3 linked regions of the Coturnix japonica genome follow. The protein of the gene in region 3 interacts with the protein of the main gene of each other region in a pairwise test. Links are inferred from orthologs where the notes say so. Each region holds a gene or a part of one and is shown on either strand. Other genes may lie near its edges.

Region 1 (4,301 bases), on a different chromosome or scaffold from region 3:
CAGTCAGGGACGTGGCAGTGTCCCCGCTCTGCTTGCTTCCAGCAGCTGTAACTCCCATATCCTATCCATGGGGCTCCCCATTGGCACCCAGCTATCCCAACCCTATCAGGAGGAGCACCCAGACTTGAGCCTCAGCTCAGATCTTCTTTCTGATCCTGTCTAGCATATGTGACAACTGGGAAGATCAGGTTAATCATTTAGTGTGGCAAATGAACCCCAAGAAAGGTCTCCACCTCTACTCCAATCCCAAAGACTCCCAAAGAATACCAACCAGTTGGTTGACTGACCAGCAATATGGAGGAGGTGGCCAAAAGGCAGATCAAAACAGCTGAGCTGTTTGTTGGCCAACTGACAAACTGATTAACCAAACCACCAACCCACTGACCGACTGACCACTCGCTTAACCTCCCACCCAAACCACCCAGCCCACCATCCAACCGACCTCCCATTCTATAGAGCATTGACTCAAGGCTTCTTTGAGCTGGGTTTGAGTTTGGCTGTCATTAATGGGACATTTAGCCAACCAGCTTGGGATAAAAGGGGAAACTACACCCTATGGTCCTCCCATTGACACCAGCAGCCCCATTGCTGACAATAGGGCCCTATTGAGCCAGGACATACCTGTGTGAGATCCCAACTCCAATGGGGAACCCTCAGATCCGTCCTGGCCTCTGAATTCCCTTTGGTGTGCAAGACACCGAGCCTGGCCACCTCCTCCTTTGCGATGCCCTGACCCGAGTGGCAAAGTTTAAACTCCAACAACACATAAACAGTGACCAAGATTGCAAAATCACCCGTGTCCTGATTGGGGCCGCCAATATGCAATGGCAAAGGGAAGGCCCTTGGGTGCTCCGTAACTTATTAGCCAAATGGTTTTGTCCTCCTATGCCGAGCGGGGCAGGAGGGGCCTGGGCTGATGGGCGAAGTCCAGGCTCTGTAAGTGCCCATGAACTTTCCCCCACTTTGGGGGTAATATTTCCCTTTTTCAGCTGAGTGCATCAGCATTAATCACACCCTATAGGCGTTGTGATGTCTGGGGAAGACGTTGACTTGGATTCAACCATATGCTGCTTCTCTATAATATGTGTTAATCCCCACTGATGTTCACGATCCTTATGGGCTCAGCTGTGCCTCAGTTTCCCTATGGATCAATGGGATGAGGGGTTCACTGCCTGCCATATCCCTCTCCCTCCTATGATGATGGTGGGTATCTCACATTGCCTCACCCTCCTATGGTGATGGTGGGTATCTCACATTGCCTCACCCTGCTATGATGATGGTGGGTATCTTATATTGCAGCTGGGGGTTATGGCTTTGGATGGCCATGTCCAGATCCCAGCATAACCCACCCTATAGATCCCTATGGTGCATGACACAGCCAGCCCCCACCTCTCCCTCGTGCCCAGTGAGCTTATGACCACGCTGCGTGCCACGGGTACAAGGCTACAACATCAGGCTTATCTCCTGCACAACGCACTATGTCCAGGAGGGACCTGTAGGATGGAGGGCACCTCCTTCACGCCTCATTTTATGGCCCAACAGCGGAGACGGGAACTCCTTGCACCGAGCAAAGTCCATCCCCTCCTCCCTACCACCACCCTGCCACCACGCTGCGCTCCCGGCGGTCACCACCAGGGGGCGCTGCAGCCCCCACCCCCCTATTGGTTCCGCCCCTTTGACTTGATGCTCCGCCCCGCTCGGCCCGCAGGCGCGGCCCGGCCATGCCGGCCAAGAGGAAGCCGGTGTTACCGGCCCTCACCATCACCCCCAGCCCCATTGAGGGACCAGGGCCTGGAGGATCCGCAGAGTGAGTGAGTGGTGGTGGGGGACCCGTCCGGACCCTGCCGTGTTGGGAGAGTTAAGGGTTGGGGGTGTGTTGGGCCTGGGGGTTGAACGGGGAATGGGGTTGGGATGGGGTTGGGATGGGGTCTGCTTGGATGGGGGCTGTATGGGAAATGGGGCTGGGTATAGAGTGATCTCGTACTCAGTTGGGATGGGATGAAGTGGGGAAGGGCCGGGGGGAGCAGGGCTGGGCAATGGGGGGAGGGGAGGAGGACAGAGCACATGGGGGGTGAAGGAGAGGGGGTCTTTGGGGCTGGGGGGGGGCGAGAGGGAGGGGTGGCGGTCTTGGGACTGTGGGAGGGAGATAAGGAGAAGGGTCGTTGGGGCACTGGGGGGGCACAGGGACGGTGTGGGGGTGCGTTGGGTGAGGGGGAGAGGAGGGGGTGTTGTGTGGCTGGGGAGGGAGAAAGAGAATGGGTTTTGGGGGCTGGGGGGGGAGGAGAGGTGGGTCATATGGGGTCTGGGGAGGGAGGGAAGGAGAGAGGGGTTTTTGGGGGGCTGGGGGGATAAAGGAGGTAGGGGGGGTTCGTTGTGCGGCTTTAGGGAGTGGGGAGAGGAGGGGTGGTCGTTTGGGTTGGGAGGGAGGGAAGGGGGGGTCGTTGGGGCTGGGGAGGGAAAGGAGAGGCGTGAGGGGGTCTTTGGTGCTGCGGGGGGTGAAAGGAGGGTGGGCGGTTCGTTGGGCTGGTGGGTGGGAAGAAAAGGAGGGGGGGTTCGTGGGACGGCTTGGGGGGGGTAGGAAGAGGGGGTCTTTGGGGCTGGGGGGGAGAGGAGGGGGTCGTTGGGGCTGGGGGGAAGGGGGGGTCGTTGGGGCTGGGAGAAGAAGGGATGGGGGGTGGTCGTTGGGGCTGCAGGGAGCCCTTCCTGACCCACTGCCCTGGGTGGGGGTTGGGGCAGCAAATGTTAGAGGATGGTTGGAGTGTGTGTGTGTGGAGCAGGTGTTGGGGAACACAGGATCCCCTTTGTGTTCGGCTGTGGGTAGAGCAGGGGGCTGGTGGGTATGTGGAGAGCTGTTGTGATTCATTGAGAAGGCCAAGCGTGGCTTTCCATGTTAGGAGAGGTTGGCCCTTAACTATAACAGGGGTTTGGGCTGAGTTCGTGTGGGATGGGGCTTCTGTTCCCTTATGAGCCGTGTTTTGCCCCTGCCGACAGAGGACAGGCTTTCTCAGGACCCCCACAGACTGATGCCCCCATCATCTCCTGCAGGGCTAACCTGGTGGACCTACAGAAGAAGCTGGAGGAGCTGGAGTTGGATGAGCAGCAGAAGAAGCGTTTGGAAGCTTTCCTCACTCAGAAAGCTAAAGTGGGAGAGCTGAAGGATGATGACTTTGAGAGGATCTCCGAGCTGGGGGCTGGCAATGGTGGTGTGGTCACCAAAGTGCAACATAAACCTTCGGGGCTCATTATGGCACGGAAGGTAAGGGGGCAGGAGATGCATTGATAGGGAGCAGGGTCCAACCAGGCTGTCTGTACTGCTCCACCTGCATGTAAAGCACCTGAGTTGGCACTAATGTACAGAGCCTTAATTTCTATAAGCTTTCTGGCTGCTCTGCCTGGCTGTGGGCCATCTCCTGGGAGGGGAAGTCTGCATCACAACAGGTCACAGGGTTTTGCAATGCCTGCTGTGAGAACATGAGTTCGTTCTTTTACCAGGAAATGGGGTTTCTGAGGGTGATGGCTAACGAGGGCTCAGTGTTGGCAGCAGGTAGAGAGATGCATGGCTGACCCTGCACGCACCTGAGTTTAGCATGCACACATCCCTTGCTTAATAGTTCCTAGCAGCCTTGTGAACCTGGCCTGACAGCTGTTTCTCTCTGAGGTCGGCTTATGGGAGATGTCTTTTACTGCAGTGTCTTGTAATAGAGAAACAGGAGATGCTTTGTCTGCCTATTAGAAAAGGCAGTGCTCGCTGAAGGCAATACAATTGTTTATATATAGGACAGCTTCCTTGGAAGACCTGCTGTGGGGATGACTTAGTGAGTATCATGAACTAATACGTTTTCCAGGTGGCTTTGCTTGGAGTGGGGCTCTGTGAGTCCTCCACTGGGGCATTATTTTGTAATTAGATGGTTTTGAGATCATTGGGAGTGCTGTGTTCAGAACCTTGCCTGGGTGTCCTAGAGCTTATACTAACAGCAGCTGCTTTCTAACCTGCCATGTTTCCTAGACTTCATGGCTTCCCTTCCACAGCTGTTAGCTGCCTCTGTGTGGAGCCCAAGGAATAAAGCATTTACCCTTTCACGTGCACAAGCATGTGAATGTGTTGGTTGGTTTTTTTCCTTCACTTCATGTAGTTTCCTTGATATAAGAGCAGCTGTTCTCACAACACCTACAAAGCTTGTGAAAATGTCCACGTTGCTGAGTCAGATCTGCAGCCAGCTTCTGACTTTTCCTTTCTATTCCATGTCCTGGGTGATCTCAATGTATTACACAGGCTTGTAGGTGCTGCACTTGCTAACAGG
Region 2 (4,345 bases), on a different chromosome or scaffold from region 3:
TTTTAACAGGCTTGCAATGGACTTGTCATTGTTGCTGGCAGTTTCCTTTGGTGGGAGGTTTCAGACAGAAGGCAGCTGCTGAGATGGAACCGCTTGGCTCAGTGGGGACCAAGGCTCCCACGCACAGGGTGCAGCGGTGATGAGGAGTGCAGAGAGCCCTGTGAATGCATCCGACTGCTCTTGTCTTGGGATGAGGCTTCTCTGGGCTTCTACATGTGGCTGAGTCCCTGCTGAGCAAAGCCCAGGCTGTGCAGAAAGCCCTGAGCTCCAGGGAGCTGCCTACCTGCAGCGTGTGTGTTTTGCTGATCCTCACACTGCACGTTTTGTAAATAAAACATGACACTAAGAAAACACCTGACTCTGCATCATCACCTCCCTCCAAACAGAATACAAACCCCTACATCTCCAGATCAGCCTTGTGGCTTTGTCCATCTGCTCTTCAGTCTGACCAACGACTGTTACAACCCACAAACTCTGCAAGGTCTGAAATGTGGGGGTAAGCAAAATAGTTCAGACACCAGAGGCAAAAAAGCAGACATCAAAAGTTGATCTGGACTGTAGCAGGCTGATATCCAGACACACGCAGCAGGAGTTAGGAAAACACTGAGCATCTAGATAGGAAAAACAACATTTGACCCTCACATCACACCTCCTTTGTTTTCCCAGTGTTGAACAGTCTGTGTAGGTCTTTGAAATGTACACAGACACACTGAGTTGAACAGACCTAGGAAATATGTAATGTGAAGCAAGGGGAAGCGTGGGCAACTTGCATTTCTTAGGATCCACCTACATACAGGAATTAAATAAGGAGCTTTTCATCACTAGCTGCATATATATACATGTGTATGTGTGTATGCACAGGGTATGTACGTACATTATACATGCAGTATGTGTGTGGTTTGGGTATTATGTATATGTATGTACAGGTGAATGAAATGTTCTTTATTTCAATACTGACTGTAGGTGGGCATTACGTATATAATACTTATGTTTTTATACATGGCCAGATTATGAGCAGCTGTACAATAAACCACATCCTTCGTGCCCTCACAGTGTGAACTCTGCTCTCTGCAATGGTGGTTATGTAACCATCGATGTGAGGTGTGTGTGCAGCTGCTGTGGGGAGGAGGGATGGAGATGCTAGGCCAGGAGTTAATGAAGCAATTAAACAACATTCAGAGATGCAACTTGAATGTCCTGAGTGGTGAATGTGCCTTGAAACTCAACACAACGCCTCGCCTCATGCAGGAGGGTGCCACGATGGGGCGTGCAGACACAGCACCATGGGGTGAGGGTCCAGGACCACAGGATCAGGCTCCAGTGGTCACAGCGGTGGGATCTCGGTGGTGTCCGCCTTGTTTGGGGTCCAGGAGGCGGTGTTATATGGGCAGAACACACACCCCTCGTGGGCACTATTTCTCCACCCTTCGGCGGAAGGATCCCGACACCAGCCGCAGTGCGCACTTCGCTCCGCCGCGCGCTTCCCGCCCGCCTATAAAAGGGTTCGTGCGCCGCCTTGCGCTCGTGGTATCCATCCGCTCCCCCGAGCTCGCTGAGGAGACGGCCGCCATTTTGTTCCGCGCCGGAGCTGCGCTGAGAGCGGCAGAGAAAGAGGGAGGGCGGGGGGGAAGAAAGAGAGCGGGTAGGAGAAAGGACACGGGGAGAGCACGACGAGACGACGAGAGAGGAGAGGAGCCGGGTCAGCCGAGCAGCCAGCGGAGGGAGGGAGGGAAGCGGCGGGGAGGGGTCCGCCTGGCCGCTGAGAGGCGATGGCGGATATAGACAAGCTGAACATCGACAGCATCATCCAACGGCTGCTGGAGGGTGAGGGGCGAGGGGAGGGGACGGGGGTCGGGATGGGGTGGTCGGGACGGGGCCGCGTGTGGAGCCGGCACTGGGGGTGGGGGGGGCTGTGCTTTGTCCTCAGCCCACAGAGCAATGAGTGCCCTGAGGAATGAAAGGGAGACACGGCGGGGTTGGGGCAGGATGGTTTGTTAAGGGAACTGAGCGGTTTTCTAAAGGATTTGAGGAAAAAGAGGGTTATTTTTGGGGTGAGCTGCCCTGATCCGGCCTCGTTCCTTGTTGTGTCTCAGGGCGGGCACCTCGCGCTTGAGGAGCTTCATGGGGTTTAACGTGTTTCCATCCGGCTCCGAGTCATGTAGGTGCTGATGAGACGAACGGGAAATGGCTTTCAGCAGTGCCGTGGTTTTTCAGCGAGAGGACGGCGGTGCTGCTGGAACCACAGGGACTGAAAATCCGATGGGTGTATTATGGGATTACTGAGCTAGAATAAGTAAAAGTAAATAGGGCTTTTGCTGTGATCCGTTGCGGGCTGTGCCTGTTACCAATTTAAACTACCCCGGCTTAAATTATTTAAAGGCTTCCCTTTGTAAATTTAGACCAGGATTTTCCTGAAACTCTAGTAGCACACTTTGTGCTGTCGGGTCCTGTATGTCTTACATCTGCCGACATTAATAAGCGTTCACTTTTACTGCAGGTAATAGTTTATAATTCTTACCTGGTCTGCTCTAATGTAACTAATGCAGTTTTCCCGGATCAGGTCATTACAAACAATGAATAGGATGGAGCAGAAGGAAATGCAGTTGGTTTTGAACAATTCTTCTTGTTTTAAAGTTTAAAAAGGGGCAAGATGTGCTACACCAATAGGTTCTTACCCAGCTTGTACCCGTGTTACACATATAGAGGGGATGGGAGTTGGTCATTCAGGGCTTTCAGACTGACACAGAGGTGGATGTGTACCATTAAAGATGGTAAAGATCCTAAAGATCCCATTACTGGAGGTTGCATCAGCTGCCAAGACTGAAATTAAATGTTTTGGCTTTATTGATGTTTCATTTGGGATTTTGGATCCTATGAAGCCGTAATGGTTTTTCAGTGTTTAAAATGATTACCACCTGTGCTGATATGCATCTTTATTGCGTATTAAATGCCTGTTGTAAACATTTCTCTCAGGCAGTGATGGTTGACCTTTGTGGCAGCCTTTTCTTTTTCCACTTCTCCAAAGGACAAAGTGATGCTGTGTTTTAGCAGGTGCTGCGTTGTGGATAGATGGATAAATGGTGTGAGTAGCTGTGAGCATCGTTCTCTGTGGTTGTTTAAAATCTGACTCAGCCTTGCCCTGGAATTACGAAGGTACAGTTAGGTTGGTGGTGGGACTGAACTTCTACAGGGCAGATCTACATGGTGTTAAGTGGGGAAGGGGGGGAAATCAGGTCTGGAGTATGTGCAGGGTTTGTCATCCTATTTAATTTGGAATAAATGAGGAATAATTTCTGTCTTACCTGGCATTCTTTTCAGTGTAGTGCTGGCACACAACTGGATGCAGTTAGTGCCTTGAAGCCTGATGGATGTGTTTCAATTGATAGGCTTTCAAACAAGGTGGCACTCAGGTTGTTGCAATTGCAGTCAAGTATTTCAGTGTTGTTGTTCTTAAAATGTATACTTACCTAAAATATATAATTGTACTATTAAAATCAAAGGATATGAGCAGCTAATATGGCATTATCCCTTCTTCCTTTTAAAGGTCAGGGGAAAAAAGATGCATTCTGGAGATAGGTGATGAAATACTCAAATCAGTGTGAGCAGACAGTTGTGCCTGTGTCCTATAAGGCACCTTAGTGCTGTGCTGGGTGTAGTCTGATGGCCTAGGTAAAGCAAAGTGCTTAAATGGTTAATCATAATTATTCTTGCTTTTGTTCCTAATGTAGGGCATCAATAATTGATTTGTCATTGGGTTTTTATGTGCTTTCTATCATGACTTCATGAAATTTGAGGTAATTATACAGATCAAGTGACTTCCCTCCAAGTAGCTGATACAGTCTCACCTGCCATAGGGTAGATAGCTAATTATTAAATCAGTCTTTAAAAAAATCTAGATATATTTATATATTCAGCTTCTTAATCTGAAGTGAATATTTGGTGAGTCCTTCTTGCTCCCAATGTTTGTAGCATAGAGGTGTTAGGCTTTGAGGCATCACAAAAAGCCTTTCTCAGTAACATTGTGCTCAGCCTCAGTGAGCAGGTTGATGGAAGCACTGGGCAAACTAATGAGGGCTGTGTTCTGTTAGGAACAGTTTGTCTGGTTTGGGGGCTTTTAGTAACTTTCCTAACAACAGTTTTCTCAAGAATAAGGCTTTTAAAGCTTTACTAAATGACAGTATCCAGCAGTGAGTATTGAAATGTTTCCTAAGTGTGCTTGATGGTGGGTAAAGGCTCGTATCTTTATGACTGAGGAATAACAAGGGGCAACCCTAAGAGCACATTACTGTCCTTCCAGGAATACAGTAGGCAGTGACTGCATGGCTCTGAGCTTACAGCTTTGTGT
Region 3 (4,277 bases):
GTGCTAAAGCTTTAATCTCATTACTTTTGGACGGTGATAACAGATCAAAGGTATCTATAAGATGGTAAGATTTCAGGCACCGATGTGTTTCGTTGAGCCTATTAAGTTACATAAGAATAATAAAATGCCTGTTCTGAGTGAATAACCTGTCATGGTGATCAACTTAAAGAATTGGTGGCATCAGCTACACAGTGCAGCACCCACAGCAGGGAAAATCCCTGCATGAAGGACTGCAAGTTTCATCAGACAAGAGAAAATGGCTTATTATACTGCTGCCCAGATTTACCTGTCAACATAAAAAACTTAAGTGCTACATAAAACAGTACGATGTTGGCTTAGCAATGTGTCAGAACGAATGGTGTGAATGACCAGACCCTTGCAATCATTCCTATTGATGGCAGCAGGTTCTAAACCAGGCTTGCTTAATCGCATACTGCAGGCAATGCAAAGCACAGAGAAAAAGCCATGCTCAAATGCCAGAGATACAGACGCTGGACCTACACCCAAACACAATTAATAATGCATGTCTCCATTCTCGAGACATTCAAACCACCTATTTGTATACACGGTCAGTATATTGGAAAGAGCATCATACATCTCTTTCATTACCTCGGGGAACATTCAGTGCATTCCTTTTTACCCTTTCCCTTGTATTTCTTCAAGGAAGCAATGCATAGGATCTAAAATCAGCACTTGTGATCAGACACGCTATATGCTGTGCTATCATAATTCTAAATATCCAGAAAACTTGGCAGATGGCAATTTTCCTCCACGGAGACTGTAGCAGGGGTGGCAGGGGAGTGAAGTGCTTCAAGAAGCTCCTACACGCCACGTTCAGTAACTGCACTTACAGGCACGCCCACAATTAACTAAAACAGTATGACTTTTCCTAACTGTGAAGGCAGCCATCCATCAAAACACCAAGCCAATGAGTTCTGAGTCATCTCCTCTCACCCTAAGACTTCATTTAGGATTCCAGTCCACCTCCTCTGACCCAAAACCTAATTAATCTGAGGAATCCCTCAGGGACGGCTCACATTTATTTCCCCATAAGCGAACCCCCTCCGCCTCCTCAGACTGCTCCCGGAGCGGGGCGGGGCGGAGGCCCGGCCCCTCACAGCAGCGTTACTCCGTTGTTAGGCAACGGCCGTGCAACAAGCGGCTCCCGCACAACGCCCCACCGCCCCCACCGGGCACACAGGGCACACAGAGGCCAGGCCAGGCCAGGCCAGGCCCCGTTCCCCCGTTCCCCCGTTCCCCGCTCCCCGCACCGCCTGCCGGGCCCATCCCGTTCCCCGCCGCTCAGCCCCGCGGAAGACAGCGAGGCCGCCCGCTCGCAGCCCGGGGCGGACGCTCGACCTCCGCTCTGCGGAGCCGGGAATGGGGCAAAACGGAGCGAGGCAGCACCGAGCGCTGACCCGCCCGCACCGCCGCTCACCGGCACACACAGCCCCGTCCGCCTCCCGCGCCGGTCGCCACCTCCCCGGAAGCCGGCGGGCGGCTTTCTGCCGTCCCGGAGCTCATTCTCGCTAGCGCCGCCTGTCGCCGCGGAGGACCCGGCCCGGCCGCTTGGCCTCCACCTCCCGGCTTCCCCGGGCCTGCGCGGACCGCAGCAGCTCCCCGTTCCGCCCGGCGAGTCGCGGCCTGGCTCGGGCCGCTGCGGCTGCGGAGGGGTTGGGCGGAGCGGGCGCGGGGCGCGATGGCGGCGGCGAGCGGCTCGTCCGGGAGCGGGATGGCGCAGAAGACGTGGGAGCTGGCCAACAACATGCAGGAGGCGCAGAGCATCGACGAGATCTACAAGTACGACCGCAAGCAGCAGCAGGAGATCCTGGCGGCCAAACCCTGGACTAAGGAGTGAGAGCGGGGCCGTGGGGCGGGCGGGAGAGCGGGCGGCGGGGCCGGGGGTTGAGGCGAGGCGAGGCGAGGAGAGGCCCTGAGCGCTAAATCGGCCTCTGTCCCGCCGCAGCCACCATTACTTCAAGTACTGCAAGATCTCGGCGCTGGCCCTGCTGAAGATGGTGATGCACGCCCGCTCGGGGGGCAACCTGGAGGTGATGGGGCTGATGCTGGGCAAGGTGGACGGGGAGACCATGATCATCATGGACAGCTTCGCTCTGCCGGTGGAGGGCACCGAGACCCGCGTCAACGCGCAGGCGGCCGCCTACGAGTACATGGCCGCCTACATCGAGAACGCCAAGCAGGTATGCTGCGGTGGGGGGGATATGGCGTTGCTCTTAACTTCTTGCTTTTGGAAGTCTTAAGTCTGAAAGTGCAGTAAAATTCTCAATTGCGGAGGGAGGGTGGTCCTCCCTCTCTGCCCCAGTAATGCCACAGCTGAAGTATTCTGTCCAGTTCTGGGCTCCTCCGTTCAAGAAAGACAGGGAGCTTCTGGAGAGAGTCCTGCAGAGCGCCACTAAGATATGAGGGTTCTGGAGCATCTCCTGCATGAGGAAAGGCTGAGAGAGCTGGGACTGTTCAGCCTGGAGAAGGCTGAGGGATCTCATTACTGTTTATAAATATCTAAAGTGTAGGAGTCAAGTGGACACAGCCAGACTCCTTTCAGTGGTATGCAGCAACAGAATAAGAAGCAACAAAACAAATCTGCAACACAGGAAGTTCCATACAAACAGAAGGAAGAACTTTATCATCAGAGTGATGGTGCCCTGGAACAAGCTGCCCAGAGGGGTTGTGGAATCTCCTCTGAAGATATTCAGAACCTGCTTGATGTTTTCCTCTGACCCACTATAGGCAATCTGCTTTTAGCAGAGGGGTTGGGCTAGATGGTTATCCCCAGAAGTCCCTTCCAATCCATACAACTATGTGATTCTGTGAAATATTAATCTGCTCTGTGGCTGATGCAGAAGCTGACATGGCATATGAGCACTTGCTGGCTCAAATAAGCACTGGAATCCCTCAGACTGTCCAAGCTCAAATAGTTTGAGGCCTAGTTTACCCTTTGATTTGTCATTAATCCTTAAAGTATTTTAACTCAGCTGAAATTAGAGGGTCCTTACATAGTGTAGATAAAGGTACAACTATTTAGGTTATTTTGGAGAGGTGTCACAGCTTTCTGTGGGTTTAAGGACATTTAACTAAATTAGGTTGGATCGTGACTTCAGAAGAGAGTAAATACAGCCCAAAGGTAAGGATGTTCTAAGGCCTGTGGTGGGTTTTTTTGTTGTTTTTCGTTAACTTATCACGCTTCTTTATGAGAAAATTTCTAAGTGATCTATTTAACGTATTACTTTAATATATTATTACTTATATTATTATTACTTTAATATATTATTAAAGTAATGATTTATTGTATTCTTACTGAAAAGTATAGAAAATGAAAGGGTGTTTATATCTGAAGATACGTTTGTACTACCCAGTTCTTAGGTAGAAAAATTGTCTTAAGTATAGAGCATGGCATCGGTATTTACATGTACGGTTAGTTCATTTGACTTTTAGAACAGCCCAGGTTTATATGGGAGAATTCATGATACGAAAATAAAGCAAAAACAATAACTCAGCTTTACTGGAGCTCTGACAGTGCGTCCTGGCTGCTTCACATCTGAGGTTGGAAAGCACTTTGTCCTGGAGTAACTCTTTTTAATGTTAGATTACATGTTGATAATAAGAGCACTCTGCATAAGTGCTCTACAGAAGCTAATGTTGCAATTACTTGCTCCTCCATAGGCAGGATCTGATGATAAAATAGTTAAAAGAAAAATGTTATTTGTTTCAACGACTCAAATGTTCAGTTGGGTAGATCGTGTGTTCTGTCCCTCTTAATAGTTTCCAGATTTAACCTTCCTGGTATGCTCAGTATTTGGCAAAACCAAGCAGCTGAATGCATTGAACACACTGCCATGTAGGATGTACATAAATCCTTTCACTCAATATTGATCAGCCAGTACACAGTTCTTGGCCAGTTACAATAAACTAGGTGCGCTGGCTGTTTATTCACCGTGATTAACAATCAATTTTGATTGGTTTTGTTTGTTTGTTTGGGGTACTTGCTGAGATATCCCGGAGTATTATTTGGGAACTTCTTTTATAGTTAAGCAAAATAAAGTGCATGTTGAATATTTCAAGTTAGCATACAGGCTGTGTATATTCTTTTTATCCTCTTGCTGCGTTGTAGTGTGCTGGAAGGCTCAGTAGAGGGCAGCCCATGCTTTACGAATGAGGATCATCACTGGATTTGTTTTCCTTCACTGCTGTTAGGTTGGTCGTCTAGAAAATGCAATTGGCTGGTACCACAGTCACCCTGGCTACGGCTGCTGGCTCTC

Evidence for each region.
Region 1: the proteins of COPS5 (region 3) and MAP2K2 interact in a two-hybrid assay, tested with the Homo sapiens proteins (2 studies listed by BioGRID and IntAct). The link is inferred for Coturnix japonica from reciprocal best matches to the Homo sapiens genes COPS5 and MAP2K2.
Region 2: the proteins of COPS5 (region 3) and PPP1CC interact in a two-hybrid assay, tested with the Homo sapiens proteins (2 studies listed by BioGRID and IntAct). The link is inferred for Coturnix japonica from reciprocal best matches to the Homo sapiens genes COPS5 and PPP1CC.

What each region holds. Positions count from the first base shown.
Region 1 is NC_029543.1:1,719,298-1,723,598, forward strand, and holds the start of MAP2K2 (dual specificity mitogen-activated protein kinase kinase 2), read left to right. Parts: upstream 1-1,485; 5' UTR 1,486-1,500; coding exon 1,501-1,811; intron 1,812-2,991; coding exon 2,992-3,256; intron 3,257-4,301. UniProt on the Homo sapiens protein: Catalyzes the concomitant phosphorylation of a threonine and a tyrosine residue in a Thr-Glu-Tyr sequence located in MAP kinases. Activates the ERK1 and ERK2 MAP kinases.
Region 2 is NC_029530.1:5,191,050-5,195,394, reverse strand, and holds the start of PPP1CC (serine/threonine-protein phosphatase PP1-gamma catalytic subunit), read left to right. Parts: upstream 1-1,529; 5' UTR 1,530-1,769; coding exon 1,770-1,824; intron 1,825-4,345. UniProt on the Homo sapiens protein: Protein phosphatase that associates with over 200 regulatory proteins to form highly specific holoenzymes which dephosphorylate hundreds of biological targets.
Region 3 is NC_029517.1:104,436,182-104,440,458, reverse strand, and holds the start of COPS5 (COP9 signalosome complex subunit 5), read left to right. Parts: upstream 1-1,332; 5' UTR 1,333-1,699; coding exon 1,700-1,854; intron 1,855-1,966; coding exon 1,967-2,201; intron 2,202-4,212; coding exon 4,213-4,277. UniProt on the Homo sapiens protein: Probable protease subunit of the COP9 signalosome complex (CSN), a complex involved in various cellular and developmental processes.